Struthio camelus: one gene and its partners. The protein of the gene in region 2 interacts with the protein of the main gene of each other region in a pairwise test. Links are inferred from orthologs where the notes say so. Each region holds a gene or a part of one and is shown on either strand. Other genes may lie near its edges.

The links.
Region 1: the proteins of RGS2 (region 2) and DDR1 interact in a two-hybrid assay, tested with the Homo sapiens proteins (2 studies listed by BioGRID and IntAct). The link is inferred for Struthio camelus from reciprocal best matches to the Homo sapiens genes RGS2 and DDR1.
Region 3: the proteins of RGS2 (region 2) and CTSB interact in a two-hybrid assay, tested with the Homo sapiens proteins (2 studies listed by BioGRID and IntAct). The link is inferred for Struthio camelus from reciprocal best matches to the Homo sapiens genes RGS2 and CTSB.

Annotation. Positions count from the first base shown.
Region 1 is NC_090977.1:589,237-596,581, reverse strand, and holds the start of DDR1 (epithelial discoidin domain-containing receptor 1), read left to right. Parts: upstream 1-4,268; 5' UTR 4,269-4,429; coding exon 4,430-4,641; intron 4,642-5,123; coding exon 5,124-5,222; intron 5,223-5,630; coding exon 5,631-5,859; intron 5,860-6,616; coding exon 6,617-6,764; intron 6,765-6,866; exon of another isoform or gene 6,867-6,960; coding exon 6,961-7,063; intron 7,064-7,345. UniProt on the Homo sapiens protein: Tyrosine kinase that functions as a cell surface receptor for fibrillar collagen and regulates cell attachment to the extracellular matrix, remodeling of the extracellular matrix, cell migration, differentiation, survival and cell proliferation.
Region 2 is NC_090949.1:10,318,406-10,325,569, reverse strand, and holds RGS2 (regulator of G-protein signaling 2), read right to left. Parts: upstream 3,088-7,164; 5' UTR 2,998-3,087; coding exon 2,888-2,997; intron 2,731-2,887; coding exon 2,629-2,730; intron 2,538-2,628; coding exon 2,476-2,537; intron 1,582-2,475; coding exon 1,415-1,581; intron 1,005-1,414; coding exon 810-1,004; 3' UTR 15-809; downstream 1-14. UniProt on the Homo sapiens protein: Regulates G protein-coupled receptor signaling cascades. Inhibits signal transduction by increasing the GTPase activity of G protein alpha subunits, thereby driving them into their inactive GDP-bound form.
Region 3 is NC_090944.1:11,200,119-11,207,267, reverse strand, and holds the start of CTSB (cathepsin B), read left to right. Parts: upstream 1-4,148; 5' UTR 4,149-4,163; coding exon 4,164-4,200; intron 4,201-6,201; coding exon 6,202-6,353; intron 6,354-6,905; coding exon 6,906-6,991; intron 6,992-7,149. UniProt on the Homo sapiens protein: Thiol protease which is believed to participate in intracellular degradation and turnover of proteins. Cleaves matrix extracellular phosphoglycoprotein MEPE. Involved in the solubilization of cross-linked TG/thyroglobulin in the thyroid follicle lumen.

The DNA of each region.
Region 1 (7,345 bases), on a different chromosome or scaffold from region 2:
GGAATAATGAGGAGAAATTCCCTGCTAATGGGGATTGAGGGGGGAATGGTCCCTAACAGTGAAGGAAAATGGGGAATAATGAGGGAATAGTCTCTAGTAGTGAAGGATATTGGAGAATTATGAGGAGAAAGTCCCTAATAATGGGGATTAAAGGGGAAATAACCATTAATAATGGAGAATTATGGGGACTAGTCCCTAGTAATGAAGGAAAATTGGGAAAAATAAGGGAATAGTCCCTAATAATGGGGAGTAAGGGAAGAATACTCACTAATAATGAAGGAAAATTGGGGGGAAATGAGGGAATAGTCCCTAATAATGGAGAGTAAGGGAAGAATAGTCACTAATAATGAAGGAGAATTGGGGAATAATGAGGAAACAGTCCCTAATAATTGGGTATGAGAGGGGAACAGCCCCTGATAATGAAGGAAAAGGGGAACAATGAGGGAATAAGCACTAATAATGGGGAGTGAGAGGGGAATAGCTCCTCATAACAGGAAATAAGGGGGGAATGGTCCCAAATAAGGGGATAATAGCCCCTAATAATGAAGGAAAGTGGGGAATAATGAGGGAATAGCCCCTAATAAATGGGGAATAACCCCTAATGGGGAATAAGCAGTAGGGTAGCCCCAAGTAATGGGGGAATAGCCCCTAATAATGGGAAAATAATAGGGTATATCCCCTAATAATGGTGGTTAATGGGAAATAATGAGAGAATAGCCCCCAATAATGAGAGATAATGGGAGATATTAGAATAACCTCAAATAACGGAGGAGAAGGGGGGAATAGGCCTTAATGATGGGGAGAAATGGGTAGAAATGGGGGGGAACCCCTAATAATAGGGGAGAATGGGGAATAGCCCCTAATAGTGGGGAATAATGAAAGAATAATCCCTAATAATGGGAGAATAGCAGCTAATTATAGTGAATAATGCGGAATAATGGTTGATAATGGTGGGGCGAGGGAAGGGGAAATAACAGCTAATAACGAAGAATACAGGTTAATAGGGAAATAGCTGCTAATAGTGGGGGAAGGGAACCGGAATAATGAAAATAACTGTTAATAACAGTCAAAAGGGGGGAAATAACAGGATTTAGTTCAGCGCTGGGCTTCCCAGCGAGGGGGGCCCAGGCATCCGGGCGCCCTCGCCCTGGGCCTGGCCCAAGCGAGGAATTCGGCCCAGCAGCTGGGGAGGAAGGCCAGGACGCCTGGGCCCCTGGCAGGGCGGGGGGAGCAGCAGGCACCCAGACCCCACCCCGGACGCCTGGGTCCCTTTCCCCAGCTGCGGCTGATGGGGTGGGAGGAGAGTCGGAGCTGCCCAGACGCCTGGGCCCTCTCCCAGCACCTGTTTTGCAGGGGCGGAGGGGGAAGGGGGGCAGCCCGGACGCTTGGGCCCTGTGGAGCCCTTTGGGATCAAAGCCCCCCCCCCCCCCCAAACAGCTGTTCCCCCCTCCCCAGCTGCTGCCCCCCCACAGCTGTTTTGGGGGGGGAGCAGTTGGCACACCCACGTGGGGACCCAAGCGTCCGGGGGCCCAGGCGTCCGGGGAAAGGGGAGGGGGCACCTCCTCCTCCCTTCCCCCCACCCCGGGGGTATTTTTAGGCCCCGAGACATGCGGTCACTGCCCAGCCATGCGTGGGGGGGGGCAGCCGGATGCCTGGGCCCCCTTGATGGGGGGAGGAGGGGTTACTGTACGTCCATCCGTCTCCCCCACCCTGGGGTCTCCCCCTCCTGGGGCACCCGCAGGCCCGGCTGGGTGCCAGGCCAGGGCTGCGCCGGCTGCACCCAGTACCTGCCTGCCTGGGCCCGGCCCCTTGGCACCGGCCGCTGGGAGCGGTCATGCCCCCGGGGGACCCAGGCGTCCGGGGTGGGGGGCCCCCAAAAGGTGGTTTTGAGAGGGCCCCGAAAAGGGAGTTTCGAGGGGGCCGGATAAAGATAGTTTTGAGGGGACCCCCAAAGGGCAATTTTTAGGGTCCCCCAAAAAGGCAGTTTCATGGGGGCTCCAAAAGGGGGGATTGCGATCCCCAAAATAGGGAGTTTCAAGAGGTCCCAGAAAGGCAGGTGCAAAGGTCCCCAAAAAAGGCAGTTTTGAGGGTCCCCAGAAAGGGTGGTTTTGAGGGATCCCAAAAAGGACAAATTTGAGGGTCCCCAAAAAGGCAGTTTTGATGGTCCCTCGAAAGGCAGTTTCAAGGCATCCCTGGATAGGGCAGATTTGAGGATGACCAAAACGGGCAGTTTGGAGGGTCCCCCAAAAGGTAGTTTCAAGGCACTCCAGAAAGGTAGTTTTGAGGGGTCCCCAAAAAGATGGTTTTGAGGCTCCCAAAAAAGGTGTTTTCACGCTTGGAGGGGGGGGGTTTCAAGCCCCAGGTTATTTCAGAGGGATTTGAGGTGTTTTCAAGCCCCCCCCCCCCTTTTTGGGCGGAGGCCCTTTTGGGGGGAGTCCCAGCCCTCCGCTGTGATTTTGGGGGCCCCTTTTGGAGGTTTCCAGGTCCCCCCCCCCCCCCCCCCGAGCCCCCGGGTGGACAAAGGGAGGGGAACAAAGGGCTTCCCAGAGAGGACCCAGGCGTCCGGGCCCCGCCTCCCCCCCCCAAGGTGAGGCGTGGGAACCCCCTGGGTCCTAGCTGCCCCCTCCCCACCTGCTCCGCCCAAGGGACCCAGGCGTCCGGGCTCCCAAGCCCCCTTGGCAGCCCCACTCCGAGCTTCGGTGGGGGGGACCCAGGCGTCCGGGCTGCCCTCCCCTCCCCTCCCCCCCCCCCGCAGGAGGAGGAGGGGGAGAGGGCCCAGGCGTCCGGGCTGCCCTCCCCTCCCGGAGGACCCAGGCGTCCGGGGGCTGCGGCAAAGAGGAGGCGGCGTGGAGCCTGGTGGGGGCACTGGGGGTGCCGGGGGGGGGGTTTGGGGCGTTTGAGGGCACTTTGGGGGGGTATTGGGGGCACTTTGGGGGAATATTGGGGGTGTTTGGGGCACTTTGGGGAATATTGGCACTTTGGGGGGTTTTGGGGGGATTTTGGGGAATATTGGAGCATTTCGGGGGGATTTGGGGCACTTTGGGGGTATTTGGGGTACTTTGGGGGGTATTTGGGGCTCTTGGGGATATTTGGGGAACTTTGGGGGGGATTTGGGGCATTTCAGGGGGTTTTTGGGACATTGGACGGGTATTTGGGGGTATTTTGGGGGGGATTTGGGTCACTTGGGGCAGAGAGCTGGGGGCCCCCTATGGGGAGCTCTATGGGGCCCATGGGGGGCCCTGAGGGTCCCCCCAGCCCCTGGCAGCCCTTTAGGCACCCCCCACCCAGCCCGTATGGAGGCACCTATAGAGCGCCTGGGCTGCCCTGTGTGTCCTCACTGCCTGCCCCCAGTCCCCTATAGCCCCCTCTAGACTCCCCTGCCACCCTATAGCTCCCTCTGCCCCCCATAGAGCGCCCTACAGAGATGCCTATAGAGCCCAGATAAGGCAGCGCAGCTCTAAGCACCCCCTATACCGGCCCCAGAGCATTTTACAGGTACCTATAGGATGAAACCCTATAGCCTATCTCTATACCCACCCGCACGCAGTGCCCCAGGGAGGCGTGCAGGCCCCTATATAATTCGTTAAGAGCCTTTAAGTGCTCTCTGCCCCGATCCCTATGGCTCTTCATGTTGTGGGTAGCTATAGAGCTGGGCCCTGTGGACCCTGTACGTTCGTGTGTGCGCTTGGCATGTGTGTATAGACACAGGGAAGCCTATACAATGCCGTAAACACCCCTATGGCCCTGGGTAGCCCTGCAGGTAACTGTATAATAAGCAAAGTTTTATGTTTGCACGTACAGTGTGGTGTATATGTATCCGCATACCCTTATATAAGCCATTAACACCCCATAGGCTCCCGCTACGCACCCCTATAGCGCAGCGTGGGTTCAGGGGTGCCTGCAGGTGCAAACCCTCTACCCCTATATGTAGGTACCGGTAGCACTTGTCTGCCCATAGCTTCTCTACGCACACCCCTATAGTACTTTATATAAACTCCTATAGGGGTTTATAGCCATTTTGGGTGTATACTTAGGACTATATAGTTTTTTTATAAGGTACAAAAACTTAGGTATAGATATACATGCCTATAGTAACACATACAGAAGCTTCTGTATCCGCAGGTCTATGTACACATCTATGTGTATCTATGAAGTGCACGCATATAGAAAAAAAACTTATGTAGTGACCATATAAATACAGTATAGGTGTATATGTATATTTGTCTCTTTAAGTGATTCTATGGCTCTACAGTTATATATGTGCTTATAATATATTGTATGTTATATGTGATTAGTAGTTGTGTGTTTCTATGTGTTTTGAAGTATGCGGGAACGTGCTTATATAACGGGGATTTATGAGGAGGGGCTCGAAACAGACATTTAGGGGCTCAAAACTGACCTTTTGGGCCAAGGCAGGGCTCGAAACTGGATGTTTTGGGGCCGGGGGGGGCTCAAAACTGACGTTTCAGGGGAAGGGGGGCTCGAAACTGACATATCTGTCCCCAGGCGGGACGCTGGCGTGTCGGGGTCGCCTTGGGGCCACCATGGGGCCCCTCGGCCTCGCCCCCCTCCTCCTCCTCCTCATCACCACCGCGGGGGCCCAGGTGTCCGAGCTGGAGCTGGACGGGCTCCTCGACCTGGGTGAGACCCCTAATGGGGGCCATATAGGGCTGTGGGGGGGGGGAGCCCTGGGGGATGTATAGCAGTTATATGAGCTTGCGGGTGCCCTATAGGGGCCATGAGGGGTGGTTGGGCTGTAGGGGGTATATAGGGGCCACATGGGGCTGAGGGTCCCCTATAGCAGCCATGAGGGGTGAAGGAGGGTGTATAGGGGCCATAGGGGCTGTGGGGGGCTGATGAGCTGTGGGGGCTGTATAGGGGGTGGGGGAGCCATGAGGGATGTATAGGGGCCCTATATGGGGCTGTGGGTCCCCTATACGAGCCGTGGGGGGCAGGTGGGCTACAGGGGCCCCATGTGGAGCGGTGGGCTATAGGGGGTCTATAGGGGCTGCGTAGGGGATGTGAGGCCAGCGTGTCCTTGCTGTCCCCTGTGACTCCTGTGTGTCCCCCCATGTCCCCCCCCGTCCCTGATGTCCCCCCGTGTCCCCCGTGTCCCCAGGCAGGTGTCGCTACGCCCTGGGCATGCAGGACGGCGCCATCCCCGACAGCCGCCTGACGGCCTCCAGCGCCTGGTCCGAGTCGACCGCCGCCCGCCATGGCCGGTACGGCCCAGTATGGACCAGTATGGCCCTGTATGGCCCAGCGTGGACTAGTACAGTCCAGTGTGGTCCTGGGTCCCCATCCCATCCCACCCCGTGTCCCGTCCCCATGTCCCCTCCCTCCTCCTGGTGTCCTCATCCCGCAGCCCACCATGGCCGGTGAGCCCAGTATGGACCAGTATGGTCCCTGTGCCCTCCCAGCGCCTCCTGGTGTCCTCTCCCTCTGCCCAGTGTCCCCATCCCATGGCCCTGGCCACCCATGTCCCCAATGGTGGCCCCGTGTCCCTGTGTCCCCTGGATGTCCCCATGTCCCTAGGTGTCCCCTTGTCCCAGCTAGTCCCATTTCCCTAGGTGTCCCCGTGTCCCCTGGGTGTCCCCCCCATCCCCTCAATGTCCCCTTGGTGTCCCCAGGCTGGGCCGCAGCGACGGGGACGGCGCCTGGTGCCCTGCGGGCCCCGTGTACCCGGACGAGGCCGAGTTCCTCGAGGTGGACCTGGGCCAGCTGCACGTGGTGACACTGGTGGGGACGCAGGGACGGCACGCTGACGGCCACGGCAAGGAGTTCGCCCGGGCCTACCAGCTGCGCTACACCCGTGACCGGCACCACTGGCTCCGCTGGCGTGACCGCTGGGGCGCCGAGGTGACCGGGCACCTTGGGGACCCCTTGGGGACTTCAGGAGGCGGGGGGGACATGGGGACGCGGTGGGGACACGGGGCGTACCGGCTGCCCTACAGCTGCCACTGGCACTGCTGGCTCCACTGGCTCGGGTGCTGAGGTGACCAGGCACCTTGGGGACACCTTGGGGACCGTGGAGACACCTTGGGGACACCTTAGGGACATGGTGGAGATCTCTTGGGGACCTTGGAGATGTCTTGGGGACACCTTGGGGGTGTGGTGGGGATCCCTTGGGGACCTTGGAGACCCCTTGGGGACCTTGAGGACACCTTGGGGACGTGGTGGGGACATGGGGACACATTAGGGACAGGGGATCATGGGGACCTTGGGTGCATGTTGGAGATTTTGGGGACATGACAGACCCCAGGGGACCCTGGGGGCATCCCAGGGATCACCGAGGGGCACTGGGAGACCCCAGGGCTCGCTGGGGATCCGGGTGATCCTGGGGCCTCTGGGACCCCTGGGGAGGCACTGGGATCACTGGGAGGCCCTGGGGATCATTAGGGATCTGGGGAGATCCCAGGGGCTGTGGGACCCGTTCAGGGACCTTGGAGGTCTCCAGGGATCCCTGAGGGTGCTGGGAGATCCCAGAGATCTAGGGGGATCCTTGAGTGCCTGGGTCCCCCTGCGGGGACCTTGGGGTCCTGGGGGGGGCTCAGAGGACCCCCGGGGGATGCCAGGTGGGGATCCGGGGGGATCGGGGGCTGACGCGGGGCCGCAGGTGATCGCGGGCAACGAGGACCCCGAGGCCGTGGTGCTCAAGGACCTGGCGCCAGCCGTGGTGGCCCGGGCCGTGCGGGTCTACCCCCGCGCCGACCGCGTCATGAGCGTCTGCCTGCGCCTCGAGCTCTACGGCTGTCCCTGGCGCGGTGAGTGTCACCGTCACCGCCTGTCCCCGTCCCCCGGTGTCACCTTCCCCCCCCAACCCCCACCCCGGTGTCCCCATCCCCGACGGCGGCGCGAGTGCCTACTTGTGCCCCCGGCTCTACGGCTGCCCCCGGGGCGGCGAGCGTCCCCGTGTCGTCGCGTCACCACGTCCGCGGGGTGACACGCTGCTGTCCCCAGCGGGGCTCCTGTCCTACGCGGCACCACAGGGGCAGGTGATGGCCCTCGACCCGGCGCCCGTCGTCCTCAACGACTCCACCTACGACGGCCACAGCATCGGCCAGTGAGTCCCCCCAGCGCCGCGTCACCGTGTCACCACGTCCTCGCGTCACTGTGCCACTGTATCCCCCTGTCCCCGCGTCCCCATGTCACCGAGTCCCTGTGTTCCCTGCATCCCCTTGTCACCGTGTCCCCATATCCTTGCATCACCATGTCACCGTGTCACTGTGTCCCCATGGCCCCACGTTGTGTCCCCGCATCCCTGTGTCACCGTGTTGCCATGTCCCCACGTCGCTGTGTCACTGCATCCCTGCATCACCCTGTTACCATGTCACTGCATCACTGC
Region 2 (7,164 bases):
AGCAACAAAGAAGCTTTATCAAAATAATTTATTAAAAATAAAATTCACTAAAACTTGCTGTCCTCAAGACAGAATTATGACATAATGCAGCATTCAGCACAACCACAATCTGCATATAATATGTATAGTTCCTGTTTGCTGTGGCCATGTTCTGCCCTCAGCCTGCTCTCCTGCAGCCCCACTGACATCATGCAGCCCTGTATACTTAAGTTACACAACCTGCTCCTCTGGGAAGTGAATTATATCCCCCCCCTCCTCACTTCATACTGCTGGTGACAGTGCTATAGTGTTGAGCAGTTGCAGCGAAGCCTGATACATCTGTCTGCAGCTAGAAGTCTTTAGTTTACACAACTGGTGTTAAGACACTAAGTGAATGATGACAGCAGCACTGTTGATGTTTAGGAAAAATAAGTACGTAACCAATTACTCAAGCTCCCAGCACTGCTCAGCTGTACAGAGCTGCTTGTGTTTACAAAAAGGAAGCTCTGCTCTAACCTACTGTATCAACACCTCCACTGTGACATGAGGAATGTCACGTCACTCGGCTTCATCGAAAATGTGGAATCACCTTTTCACACCAGTGTTCACAGAAAAAGGTGTGTCCCTAGCAGCTGGCTGCCAACTCTCCCTGCACGCCCTCCAGCATCATCCCCTGCTATCGGCTTTGCAACACAGTTGATATTTGTCCATGCATCCTGGCAGATGGACTGTGCACTTGGTATCTCAGCCCTTCTGGTCAGGATGCAGCTGGGGATCTGTGGCTTTCTTCTTCAGTAGCTGCAAGACTTCTCCTTGCTCCTTGCTGTAGCTCATGTTGCCTGGGCCACTCTGGTGATGGGAGTCTTTTTGCACAGTTCCTGATAGAATTCAGATTCTAAAAACCGTGGATATGAGTTATTCTCCATTAAGCTATAAACTCTCTTCTGTGCGGCACTGAAGCAGGTATGTGTAGCTTCTTGAATATTCTGAGCAATCAGGTTCTTGGTTTGAAAATCTATGTTTATCTGAAATACAAAGAAGGACACTTACTTCAGAGAACTACATTTTGTAACAGGTGAGAAAAGTTAAAGACCCTATTGCTACAGCCTTCAATTGATGAAACTTCCTTAAGGAAAGCAGTTCAGATGATATGATGTTTCCATGTTTAACTCTCAGATATGTTACAGGTATTAAATGATGCTCTGATTTTTTTCCTAGCTGAAATAAGATGGGTGCTCTCTGAAACACGGTTTGTGCAGTTTTCCAACCTAGTGAAAATGCAGTTAGGGAAGTGAGTTCTGATCTGATGCAGATACTAACAAGGAGCTATGTATGATGAATTTTTGGCATTTAACTTGAAATGAGTGCAGAGAAATAAAGCAGGGCTTTACAAAGCCACAGAATAGGGCAATTGTGTTTATATAGTTCCTTTTACCTCTTTGGGAGCTTCCTTTTCAATGAAGTCATTGTAAATCTTTTTTGCTTTCACTGTCAGCTTCTGGGGTGACTTGATTTTCTTGAAGTCCTCGCATGCCAGCCAGAACTCAATGTTCTCTTCACAAAACTCTGACTTCAGAAAAGCTCGGAAAGCAGCAAGACCATCTAGGGAAAGGCGGGGGGGAAGCAAAAATACATCAATTACGTATTTCAGGAATCTTGAATTTACCCATTTGTCATGTCTTCTCCTACCAAACATATTGCTGTAGTTCTGGTGTATTTCTTTCACGGATGCCATGGCAATAAAAGTCCACATTTATGTATGCAAACAAATTAACGCTCTAATGGCTTGGCAAGCTTCACTTAAGTTAGCTGTTTTTAGGTAAACACAAATGAAAGCCATCTCTAGCCTCTGTTCCCTTTTGTGATGTATGCATGTATACTTTAAAATTTTCTCTTGATAGGATTTAATGTGTTAACCTTTAGACTGGAGTAAATATTTATGACACTGCTACAAACCTCTGGAATATTTTTGTGGCAGAAAGGATGACTCAAGGTCAAAGAGCAAATGCTGATGTTAGTTCTTAGTCCTTTTTGCCCTGCTGCTAAGCGCTTTCCTTGCAGGGCAATGGTAAAACCCAGAGATTATCGACTGAACTTCTGTTGACACCAGTGTTGCAAAACAATTTCCAAATTGTTGTAGTGCATTTGTCTAGGATATGCAGAGAGCACAGTGAACAAATGCACTTTGGCATTTGGCAAAGCCAACTAGAGGTATGGTTTCATTGCAGAGGTTATAGCTAAAACAAGAATAAATTCCTCTACTACAAAGTGTTCTCGATGTTTCAATATTGGCTTACAAATAACTTGAAAATAACATTTCTATAAATTCGGATTTGAAATGGTTTAAAGTGTTTATTTCCAAGATCAGAATCGAAGCTGTGTGCATTAGCAAAAGTGAGGTATATGGCTGACACACAAGGAAGAAACCTCCTAGAAATGCATAGAAGCTTCACCCCCCTTTTGTTCCTAAAAGTTACTTTTTAAAGACAAACTTACATTTGTTAGCAAGAAGTTCATCAAAAGCTTCTGACCACAGCTGGGCTTCTTCAGGGGAAGGTCTGCATAAAGCAATGGAGAATACATTAGACTACAGCTCTTTTTTGTTTGCAAGATATTTGAGTCACTTCAAGTCTGCTTCTCAGAAGTTACCTGAAGTAGGTGTGGTGCTTTCCTGCTTTCTTGGATTTCATTTTAGTAGAACTGGAGGAGTTTTGCAGGAAGTAGCTCAGTCTCGTTTTCCAGTCTCTAATGCTGGAAGAATGAAAAAGGGGTGTTTAAAGTGACTGCTCGGAAAGGCCGAGAGGTGGTGACTTCTTCCCCCCCCGGCAGCGGCAGCACCGCTCGCTCCGCGCCCCTCCGCGGCCGCGCTGGCTCGCGGGCAGCAGCCCAGGCGCGAACCCCGACTCACATCGTCCTCTTCACCCGGCCCTTCTCCTCCGCCTCCTCGCCGCGGCGGCGGCCGCTCCGCTCCATCTGCGCGCCGCGGTGCTGCAGCGCCAGGAACAGCGCGCTCTGCATCGCGCTCCGCTCGTCTCCGCGCTCCGCTCGGCCCGGCCCGGCCACGCTGCGGCCCCGCCGCCGCTGCGCGCTGCCTTATAGCCGGGCGGGGGGGCGGCTCCGCCTGCGCCTCCGCCCCCGCGGAGCGGGCCCGGCCCCTCCTGCCGGGCGCGGAGCTCCCAGAGGGCACGCTCGCTGTTGGTAAGCGAAGACGGGCAGGGGCTGTGCTCCAGCCCAGAAACCCTCGGAAACCTTTTTTCCCTCCTCCCCTTCTTTTTCTTGTTCTCCTCCTCCTGCCCTCGCTCCTGGTTGCTAGTGTCTCGGGAGGTTTTTGCTGCTCGCAAGGGAGCCCGTCCCGCAGGTGCTGGCGGAGCAGCAGCTCTTCGTTCTGCTCTGTGAGTCAGAGATGCGGTTCGGCAGGTGTGTTTTTAAGGAAAGACACGCTTTTGAGTGTGGCCAGTACACAGGCGCCTTCAAGGATAAGGAAGGACTCTGTAGCCACCTTTCTTCAAAGAAGTGAAATAATTGTAAATCTGAGTATTTGGTGTTTGTAGTGTCCGCCTCTGAGCTGACTCGGGCTATTCATCACTTTAATAAGCTGTCCGTGCTTTTTTTATTCCTGTGTAGTGTTGCCACCTACCAACGACTTGTGTAAATTACTCTCCGTGCATGAAGCTGAAATTGCAATGACTTCAGCCTTTGGCTTGCTGCAGAGGCCATGTGGTCCTTCTCAGCGGTGTCTGTCTGAAGGGCATCATGCCCAAAGACTTTTCGATTTGTGAATCATATGAGTTTCTCTTTAACCTGCCCTACTTTTCTCCTCTTTTCTGTGAGTGTGTCTTCCTTTCCACACTGCTCTACACCACATTTTTCTGCCATGAAAAGCAGAGAGACTATTTGACTCCCACCATGCTGACTGGTTTCCTTGCAGTCATGTAGCTCTGAATGCCTGCTCCTTCTCGGTGATTGCTGCAGTCTGATAACCTCAGTGGCTGCAGCGTACGGCTGTGCGAAGGCATTTTGCTGTAGATGAGATATATGGAGCAAATGAATGTCATGTAATTTGTAAAAATGTCTGAATAAGGTTGCTTTTCAGTGCTGCCTGTTGGATGTCCTTTGCAGGATATGTTGAGGGGGGTCTGGTAGGAAAATAAAATCCCATCCTCTGAACTTTACAGAATTGCTTTGAATGCTTTTTGCAGCAGGTAGCTCTTAGCTGTATATATAATTACACATTTTTGATGGGAGATTGTTATGAAGATGTTACCATGGGGGAGAGGGCCTGTGGAGACACCAGGGGAGGTAAGGCGGTGTGAAAACATCAGTGTCAGAAGCTCCATTGGTGGGAGTTTGCCCAAGAGCAGGGCAGCAGTGATGGTGCCTGTGTGATGGATAGAGCTGTGCTGACTTGCTTCCAAGCATCTCCATCCTTGCTCGCAGCAAGCTCCATGGTCGGCCGAGCTGTGCAGCTGCAAATGATATGGGCAGGAGCTTGCCAGGAGCTGCTGAACAGCCTGTAACTTGCTGGAGGCTGGGAATGCTGTCCGCACATGTGAACTTCATGGCACGCGGCCTCCCCACTGGGGTGGGTAGGCTGCTCTGGCATAAACTGGAGCTCACTGGAAACACAGCCCAGGGCCTTACCCAGAGCAGAGCAGATTTTTCTCACCCAGCTGCTGCAAGGCCATGACGCTCAGCATATCATACTCTTCTGCCTGATTGGGAGTGATTTCCCCCCACACACACTTTTGATGCTGGTTTCAAGTTTCTTTCACCTTGATTCACCCAGAGTCCCTTATCTTTGAATATCTGCCCTGGAATTAGTAGCATAGTATGAACTGTAACTTGTGTAGCTTCTCGGTGAACTTGGGGGATTTCTGTCTGTAGGTCTGCTACAGAAGCTCATCAAACTCTGAAGCAGGGTCTTGAAATAACTTGGACCTGCTTGGGAGGGGCGGGGAGTCTGCAGGGAAGCTCAAAGAGATAAAAGTGTTTTGGAGTGGTGTAATTATAGGATTGGCAGGTGTATATGATCCTCCATAGATGCTTGTGGGGAAAGGTGCAGAGTAGTGGGAAAACAGGACAGTAACTGAGAGGGGATGGAAACAGCCAGTGGCTCTGAGAGACCTGAGGAAAAATATGCCCAAGAGCAGTGGAAATGAGAACTCCAAAGTCCAAGCTACAGTAAGGTTTGGTTAAGCAGTCAGAATTTGGGGGCTTATCCGTATCAAACACGAGAACCTGCTGAAGTTTGAAGCTTGACAAAATGCTTTCTTGATACTTCGGGAGGAGACTTGTAAGGTAAAGCTGAAATATTCCCATGCGTCTGCCAAGTTGTAAAGTTGGCAGTAGTTGGTGTATGGAAAATTGCAGTGGGAAACGTGTTTGTCTGATCCTTTTTATTGTAAACTTTTTAATTGCCTCTTTCAGATACCCATAAAAAAAGTGCCTGTTAAGGAGGGACCTTATAAAATTTGTAATCTCTTTGAACAGTGGAAAAAAATAAATAGTATTCCAGGTTTTAAAAAAAAAAAACACAAGCTGAATATAGAACTGAGATTAGATGGCCTTATAAAATGTACTTACTGGCGCATTCTAGCTTAAGAACTATTGAAATTAAAATCAAATCTTATTGCCTGTATGATGCGTGTATTTTTAACTTACAGCTTGATTGTACTCATAAAGGCTGAGTTTTATTGTTTTGTCTGCAGAAGAACTTTTCAAAATATTTTCCTGCTTCATCGCGCTGTGCAGCGTGATTTCTTTCTCTGATGCTAACCTTTGCTAGAAGGTAGATTACTTATTTGTATGATGAAAGATATTTTCCATTTGTGTAATAACAAAAATCTGATATCAAATGATGTCACTGATGTGCTGCAAAACAGGCTGCAGGGTGTGCTGAGGCTTTGCTGGTGAGGGGGCTTGCTGAGCGGGCAGTTTTAGATGCATCAAACCTAAATATTACCGTGTTCTACCAGTTTCTAGTTTTTTCAAGGCAGGGATGGCAAACTGGCTCAGGACCTCAGCCTGCCTTTCTGAACGTGGTTCAGGTTTCCCCCAATTGCTGCTCTGTACTAGTTGAACCAAGCGAGGAAGTATTGGCCTCTCGATCCTCTTCTGTGCCCCTCTGCTAGCGTTATCCCGAACGTTTTGGGAGAATGAGAAAAGCCCTCGGTTGGGGTCGGAGCACAGGGTTCGGTGTGCTGGTACAGCACAATGCATGACGTGGCCTAAAAATAGGCAACTTCAGATGCCGCGTCAGGCTCCCTATTGGGATGCCGCTCTCCGGGAATGGGCATCTGGTATGTGATCCGTCTGCGCAGCTAACATCAGCATACCAACCAGTCGGGCCAAAATTGTCCCCATGTATGCTGACATCAGTCCTTTCCAAAAGATTAAGCTCTCAGTAGCTGAGGAAAAATCTGTAAATGAAACCTCACTGAAAAGGATAAGACCAAGGCAGTGTGGTGGTGGTGGGGTCTTACAGCCCAAGCTCTGCGATTGAAGTCAGTGAGAATTTAGCCATTGCCTGCGATGAAATCTGGGCTCAAACTTGCAATGACACAAGCTTTCACCCTGGGGATCGCGCTCCTCTTTGTAGAGGCTTTCTTGAGAATGTTCTGTTCTTTCTGTGCTTATAGGATTTCTATTAACCTCAGCAGTAGCGAGATGTACAGAGGGCTGTAACGTATGCAGTGAACATCCAGGAGGGGAAATGAGGCTTTTTCCGTCTTGGTTACGTTATGTGTTGCAATAGCTGTGTTGATCTTATCCGAGTCCCTAGTGAGTAGTACTCACTGCACACTATTTAAATCTGTATCTACATTTTTCTAAAATGCTCATCCTTGTTTATCCTTCTTATAGAGGAGACTTGGATGATGGGGAAGACTTATGAAAAATCATCTGAAGACTTTAGCAAGCTTTCCTAAAGCGAAGAGGGAGGAATGTGCTTTTATGGAGTAGTTCAAACCATGCATTAGTTGTTTGAGAAATGTCTTCTGTTTATTGAACCCCTGTTATCTATGGCTAGCAGGCAAATAATATTCAAAAAGGAATAAGATGTTGAGATGTATCTCTTTGGTCTGTAATACATTTTGCAGATTACACAGGGGCGTTTTCATGTATTTTCACGCTATTCTTTTTTAATTTACAGCTCTGCAGTCCTGGTGCTGTGTCTGAAATGGCTCA
Region 3 (7,149 bases), on a different chromosome or scaffold from region 2:
GTGTCTTGGAGAAGCAACTAACCTTCCTGGAAGTGGAGGGGGAGGAGAGAGGAAATCTTCTTCTCATAATGAAGACTGAAACAAAACAGGCCTGCTCGTCAGCTGACGCTAGGGAGGTCGGGTTGGCACCTGCCGAAGTGCTTCTGGGAACATCCCGTGATGCACACGGCTCTGGCTTGGGGATGGTGCAGAAGAAAGGCTGTTTCATGCCAGCCTATGGTGCAATGGTCCAGATACTGTGCTCTAAGAAGTGCACTGATAGAGCAAAGAGCACTTCCTTGTTATGTTTCCCTCCAGGTCACAAAGTTGAGGGTGTTGATGAGGGCAGTGAACTAGAATATTGCTATTACAGTATCTTTTACAGCAACTGAGGTCTTATGTAAGACTCTGGTTTATGGATCAGTCTCTAAGAAGTTGTTCTCCAAAAAAAGAAAAATCGGTGCAGTTCCATTAAGGAGGAATTTGGAAGTTTCATTTTCTGTTAGGGCAACTTGTCTCAAGATGCAGTCATGTTTTTTTGTTTGCTGTTAGGGTTTTTTGTTAGTTATCCAGACTGTACTAAAGGCTTGGCTTTCCTGAAAAGGAATGGGGGTGGGGATCATGCATATTTTTAAAAAAAAAAAAAGAGGAGGGGAGGATGACAGTGGTTTGAGCTTTGTAATGGCTGTAATGAAGTCACCTGGCTATAGATTTACTGCGTGCATGTTGGCCACCAAGCTAAACTTTCAGTGCATCAAGCTAAGCAGGGTTGCTTTATTTATACACTTGCTTTATTGTGGCTTAGAGTCATGCACAAATACTGGCAGCCAGTGTAGTGCTGGCCCGAACAAAGGACAAAGCTCATCTTGGGAAGAAGGCTGTTGCTAGAGGAGGCCACATGACTTGAGTTTTGCTGAGTACTTCTAACCCTGGAGGGATGGTGCACTATGGCTGTGACAGTGAGACAGCTTTTATCTTTCTCAGACATAGAGTGGGTGGGTGCCTCTATCTGTGCCTGGAGGGGTTTGGCCCAGGTGCTGTGAACCAGCTGAGAGGTGCTTCTGGGTGTGACTCTCCTTGTGGCCTAGCCTGCCTAAACTGGGTCATGTGAGCTGTGCTTTGACTAGCCCATCTCCTGCCCCTTTGGTTGCACAGGCAACATGGGGGAAAGGAGTGGAGAGAAATTCCTAGTTAACTGGGGCTTGTGCTCTTAGATCTTTGGGCAATGTGTGGAAGAGTCTACTGGTGGGCCTCTGCAGCTAGGGCTGCTGTGAACTGCAAAGGGTCCCCTGTTGCTCTTCAGGAGTACAGGTACATCTCCCTTGGCTGCTTCAGCAGTATGGGAGAAGGTTACGTGACCCTCAGACGTGCTCTTCTCTCTGGTTTAACATGGTTTGAGTGTTTGTGGGCCTGTCCCTGGGAAAGCAGGCAGGGAGCTGCCTCTAGCCTCAATCTCCCAGGGATAGTGAGGGACCTGGGTGATAAGTCAGCTCCTTACCTCCTTCCCTCTGTTTGTATGATTGCAAACAGCAGCAGGAAATGCAGAGGACCTGTGTGTAGGTGGTGCAGCATGAGCAGCCACCATCTCAGTGCAGGTGCTCTCCTCCCTCATGTGCTGGAGCTGTTCTTAATGGCTTGCATTGGAGCGCATTCGGCCTCTGTGCTGCCTCTGAGGCTCTTCTCCCTGGCTGACAACTTGAGGCCTGTGCTCATATGGCCCAAGTTCCTCTTAGTGAGCATCTAGCTGCTAGAAGGCTAGTTGTGTGGGTCCTGCTCTGGGCCAGGTGTGAGCTTGCTTGTGGGTAGCTACTTCTTGGAGGTAATTTCTCATTTTCTTTTTGAGAGACTGCACTAAGATGCTTTGGATCCTAAAGCCCTTGGTGGGGTACTTCCTCTCAGGTCCAGCCCAAGAGGAGATGGAACAGGTCTTGAGGGCTGACTGCAAGCCCCAAATGTCTCCCTGGGACCTGATGGGGTTGCTGAGATGAAGTTGCTGTGTCCGAAGAAGTCAAACAGATAAGTTTGTTTTTTTTTTTTTTTTTTTTAACCTGCTCAGCTGCCTTTTCACAAGCTAAGAGGTTGTGATGGGGTTTGGCCTGTGAAGACAACCTCTGCTAGAGTCATCCTCAAACTGTGAGGCCTTGGGCCTTGCGTGTGCTCTGTGTGTGTGTGGCCAGGCTAGATTTGCTGTCTTTTGAGCTTCGGCATCTTGTGTGCATAGGTTGGTTGTCCTGGTGTGTGAGCAAGTGCTGCAGCAGTTGATTCCTGAATACACTTGGCTACCTGGAGGGAAGCAGGGCTGGAAGGCTGAGCCTGTGCCTGAAGAAGGTGCCATGTCCTGTGCTTGGTAGGACATACAATGGAGCCAGTGGGGTAGTGGACAAGGGGATTTAGTGATAGGGAACTGCTGCTTGAATCGCGAGCTTTAGCTGCCCATGTTGTATGTCTCTACTCAGGCTTGGTTTTGGTGCTGCTCTTTGGGCTCCTTTGGTATTTGAATTTGCTATGAAGCTTTGAGACGGAAAGACATGAGGTGCCAACTGCCTGCAGAGCAACAGCATGTGCAGAAGAGATAGTGACGATGGGGAAATACTTCACGTGGCAGCTTTATCTTGCATGAGTCTTACTTGGCCTTATCTGTAGGGAAAGGGAATGATCACAGAAGCTAGCGGCCTTGCTTTTACTTCTGCTTTGCCTCTCAAATGCCTTTAAGCTGCCTGATGACTGCCTCTGACTTGTCAGGTGCACGTGACTCAATATCTTGCAGTCGTCTGCAGAAATTGGTCCCGCAAGTCCTGTGCCTGCTCTTGCTCTATATATAGATTTGTTATACACAGGGTACTTGCTTTAGCTGTGGCATAATAGAGGGACAAATCACATGAGATCAAAGGGTTTCCCCTTCCTTCTCCACCCAAATCTTGGGATAGTCCATGTAATCCAGCAGTAACCTGACAACTGATTCTTGCTTTGAGTTGGAGCCCCCCAAAACTTCTGGCACTGAGCCCACAGGAGATTTGGCAAGAGACTTTTTCTATTAAAATGACTGACCAGCTCCCAGCTAATGAGTTGCACTGGGAGATGAAGCTGCTTTCTCCTGCTGGGTTTGCTGGCTGTGAGCCACTCTGTGGGGCAAATGCAATGCAGCAAGCATGCAGCCTGCTTAAAATATAGGTGTCTGTCAGAGGGGGGATTGCATTGCAAAGAGGGTATCTCTTTTCAGCTCAGTCTCGGGTTGACTGGAGCTCCCAGTTGACAGTGGCTGTGATCTTGTAACCTGAGGATGTGAGCTCTCCTGAGGCTGTCTGTCAGGAGCTCTGGGCAAGCAGCCTTATAGGTGCAGGAGGCTTTGCAGAATAGGTTTTTGGCATGTCATCAAATCCACAAGTGTCCGAATGAAAACAAACCTGTATCAAATGGATCCTGGCTTCAAAAGTGCCTCCTTTCTGTGCTACGGAAGATAGAAACTTTACAGCTGGAAGGTAGAGGGTTTTAAAGACTGTAGAGGAAGTTTTTAGTCTCAGAGCTGAGCTATGCTCAGTATGCTGGTGGTAGTGGAAGTTTGTCTCTACTGGTTGCTCACCAGGAGCCTTGCAGGGAGATGTGGCCTGACACCTTCCCCTGAATGTGGCCAGGTTGTTGCACCATCTGAGTGACCTTGCTGAGGGAATGGATGCCCTGTGGTGTTATAATGGTCGTGGTATGGGGTGGTGAGGGAACATCTTGTGAGTGCAGAGGGATTTGACTAAACTCTGGTTAAATATGTACCAGGCCCCTAAAGCCTGGGGAGGGCAGAAAGGAGTGTGTGTTGGGTGGGGGTTTAAGTGCTCTGGACCCAGCTCAGCTGTTGCTAGTTCAGTTTGTTCTGGCTGTGTGTAGATATAGGAAGATAAGCCTGTGGCTTTCCAGCATGTGTTTTGGTCATTTTGGATGTTGTGACTTTCCAGCAGAGCAGGCAAGGCCTTTTTTTAGACCCATGTAACAGAAACGAGGAGCCCTCTTCCCAGTGGGAGCCAATAAAGTTATGGTAGACCCTCTCCCTTCACTAACTGGCTTCTGGGGACTTGCCAGCAGCGCTAATAACACACCGTGGACCTGTTTTCCATGCAGCAAAGCCTGTGATGTGGCTTAGCCCAAGGAGCTGGCAGGGATCCTGAAGAAGTTGCTTTGCACCACTTCAGCCCAAGATGGTCGCCTGTAGGCTTTCTATAGTTGTGTTTAAGGGTCAGTAGTCAAAAACCATGTTAGCATTGGAAAAGTGCATTTTCTTTGAGTGTAACCTTTTTGCTGGCTAAGCAGGAAAACATGGCAAGAAGAGAAGGTTTGGAGGCTTTGGAGACCTGTCCTCTGGCAGTACCACCAAGTTGGTTGTCTGTGAGAAACCTCTAAGCACACAAATACATGTAAAACCTCTTCAAAGAAGTGAGATTTGAAGGAGGGACAGTGTATTTCTGAAACTTGACTAGCTTTCCAGCAGAGCGTCCTGCTGAAAGCACAAAGAGGCCACATTAAAGTGAATGGTGGCAGGGGAAAAATAAAAGCCCTTTTATATGGTTAGCTGCAACTGCCCAGGCTTGTAGCTGGCAGAAAGTAGGACAGTCCTGCTGGGTTTTCTTCTCTGGGAAGGCTAAACTTGGCTGTGAGTGGGTGGAGGCAACATGCGTGGAGATGTGTGTGCCTCTGTCCGTCGTCAGCTTGAACCTGGCTGTTCAGAAAGCTTTGCTGCCATGAGACTGCACAGCTGCTGCTGGTAGTTATTTGGCTGCTTAGGCATATTAGCCCAGAAGGGCTTAAGTGCAGCCTCTGAGAGATGATTACATGTTTAACTCGCTGAGATGAGTTGGAATTGGGGCCTAAGTGTCTCTGCTGTTTGGGGCTTTGCTGAGTATCTGAGGTCTTGGGTTGCTAGTCAGGCTTGGAGCTTGGGGCTGATGGAGCTTTGTTAAAGTGAGCCAGGAGGTTGTGGGTGGAGGAGGATACCGCAGCATGTTTGCAAAGGCTGATTGGCTCATAACGCGGCTGGATGTCTGATCCCGTCCAACCAATCTGAGTTGGGTGCAGAGGTGCTGAGAAGTGTGAAGGGTTGCTGCTTCGGCTGTAGGTGTATAAAAGGGTTAAAATGGAGCAGGGTGGTTTAAATTAGGTTAAAACTAGGCAGGAAGAAATGGAGTGGTGGTGTGACTGCCTGTCCTCCAAACCATTGTCCAGCAGACTAGCTTTCTGCTGGATGAGTGAGCTGAACTGATGCCTAGGTGGTGCAAGGCGGTGTGGAGGTGAGGCTGGAGCATCTCCTCTTGGCACTAGCAAGCTTTAAACTGAGGGTCAAGTTGCTTAAAGGATTTGATTGAGCTGAGGAGTACACAGGTGGCAAAACTGAACCTGTACCTATGTTGTGGTTGTGCTTCCATGTGGGAGGCAGGAGGCCTGTGGCTGACTCTTGCTGTGCTCTTGGATTTCCCCCTGCTGTGACTCTCTTCCTCAGCCTGGAACTTTCCTGGTGCCCTGTGCCAAGGGATGCAGTGTCAAACCTCCGTTGTGGAAAAGTCCCACACGGGAGGGGAGTATAGGCTGTAGTGATGGACTGTTCCTATAGGGCTTAGGCCTCCTCTCTGTGGGCAGGAATCCCTTCCCTCAGGGGATGTGACTGTGTTTAGGGTCCTGAGGGTGATAGACTGGCCAAATGAGGCTGTAGAGCCCAGAAATGTGATTTGGAGGGGAGCTGTGGGAGGGAGGCCCTCAAAGGGAAGAGTGCTGTGTTAGGATAGTGGGCTAGCAAGTACACGGGGGCTACAGCTCTGCTGGGATCTGATGTGGGGTAGATCATTTAATCCCTCTTAGTCCTTAGCTCTTCTGTTTCTTGGAAGTAAACAGCTTGTGAGACCCTCCAAACACAAACCCTTGGACCTGCTTCAAAAGCAAGTTTCCTGCTGCTGTTAATCCTGCAGCAGTTGACCAAACAGCATTGCCCTGTCTGACTTCTTCTGGGCTGCAGGAAGGGAGTTATTAGCACACTCTTGCATTGCTCCTGACCTTCTAGGTAAATCAGGATTGGGAGGGATTTTGTGCAGGCATGTGTTTTATCCTCCTGTGTGTTGCTGGTAAACAGCTGCTAGCAGTCCTTCTGCCAAGCCCTGCCAGATCCTCCTTGCAGCAGAGCAGTCTGACCTCAGGTTGGGATGGTTTCCTGCTGGTGTTCAGGCAAATGATAACCAAATTGTGTTGCAGGTGAAGGAACCTGTTCTGAAGCCAAGATGTGGAAGTCTGTGTCTGTCCTGTGTGTCCTGGTGGCTTTTGCCAATGCCCGTAGCATTCCTCACTACCCTCCCCTCTCCAGTGACTTGGTCAACCACATAAACAAGCTCAACACCACCTGGAAGGTGAGTGCAGGGGATTTTTTGGACAGATTGTGGGACCTCCTCTCCATAGGACTCAACAGCTGTGATTTGGGAGTCTCATCACAGTGCTTGCCTCCAACCAGCCTTGGGTCCCAGCTGGCCTCCCCAATGAGTTGATGCCATCAGGGATTCCTGCAGTGACAATGATTGTGCACCTCCTCCTTAGAGCAGAGCACTGATGAATTCATAGACTAGGAGTAATGCTGAGAGGAGAGGGAACTCTGCAGGGCAGTGGAAACAAACAGCAAGTGTAGAAGTATATTGCCAACCTGGCCAAACCTGGCTTTGCCATGCTGCTGTGGCCAAAGCTTAGAGTTGGACCTGAGCTTACTGGCCACAGTGCCCTGTTCCTGGAAGGGGCTGTGTTGTCCTGTCACCGTAAGCAGCTTGGCTCTTGGCCTCTGGGTTTTAAAAGCAAGTATCAGATACAGGTTGGGTTCGAGGAAGATCTGGAGCCCCAGGCTAGTCATGCTGTGGCTGCGGACTGCACGTAGTGGCTGTAGAGTCATGTTCAGTCACTCTGTCTCTTCCCAGGCAGGGCACAACTTCCACAACACTGACATGAGTTATGTGAAGAAGCTCTGTGGCACATTCCTGGGTGGGCCCAAGCTCCCCATCAGGTGAGTAATCGGAGAAAGGAAGATGATGGCCCTGCAAAAGCTTGTGTGGATGCTCCTGTGCAAGTCTGCAGTGGGTGAGGGCCCTTTCCCAACAGGCTCTGAGCTGGGTCCCCCTGCATGCTTCTGCATGGGGTGCTCTGGGACTGGATGCTTGATTT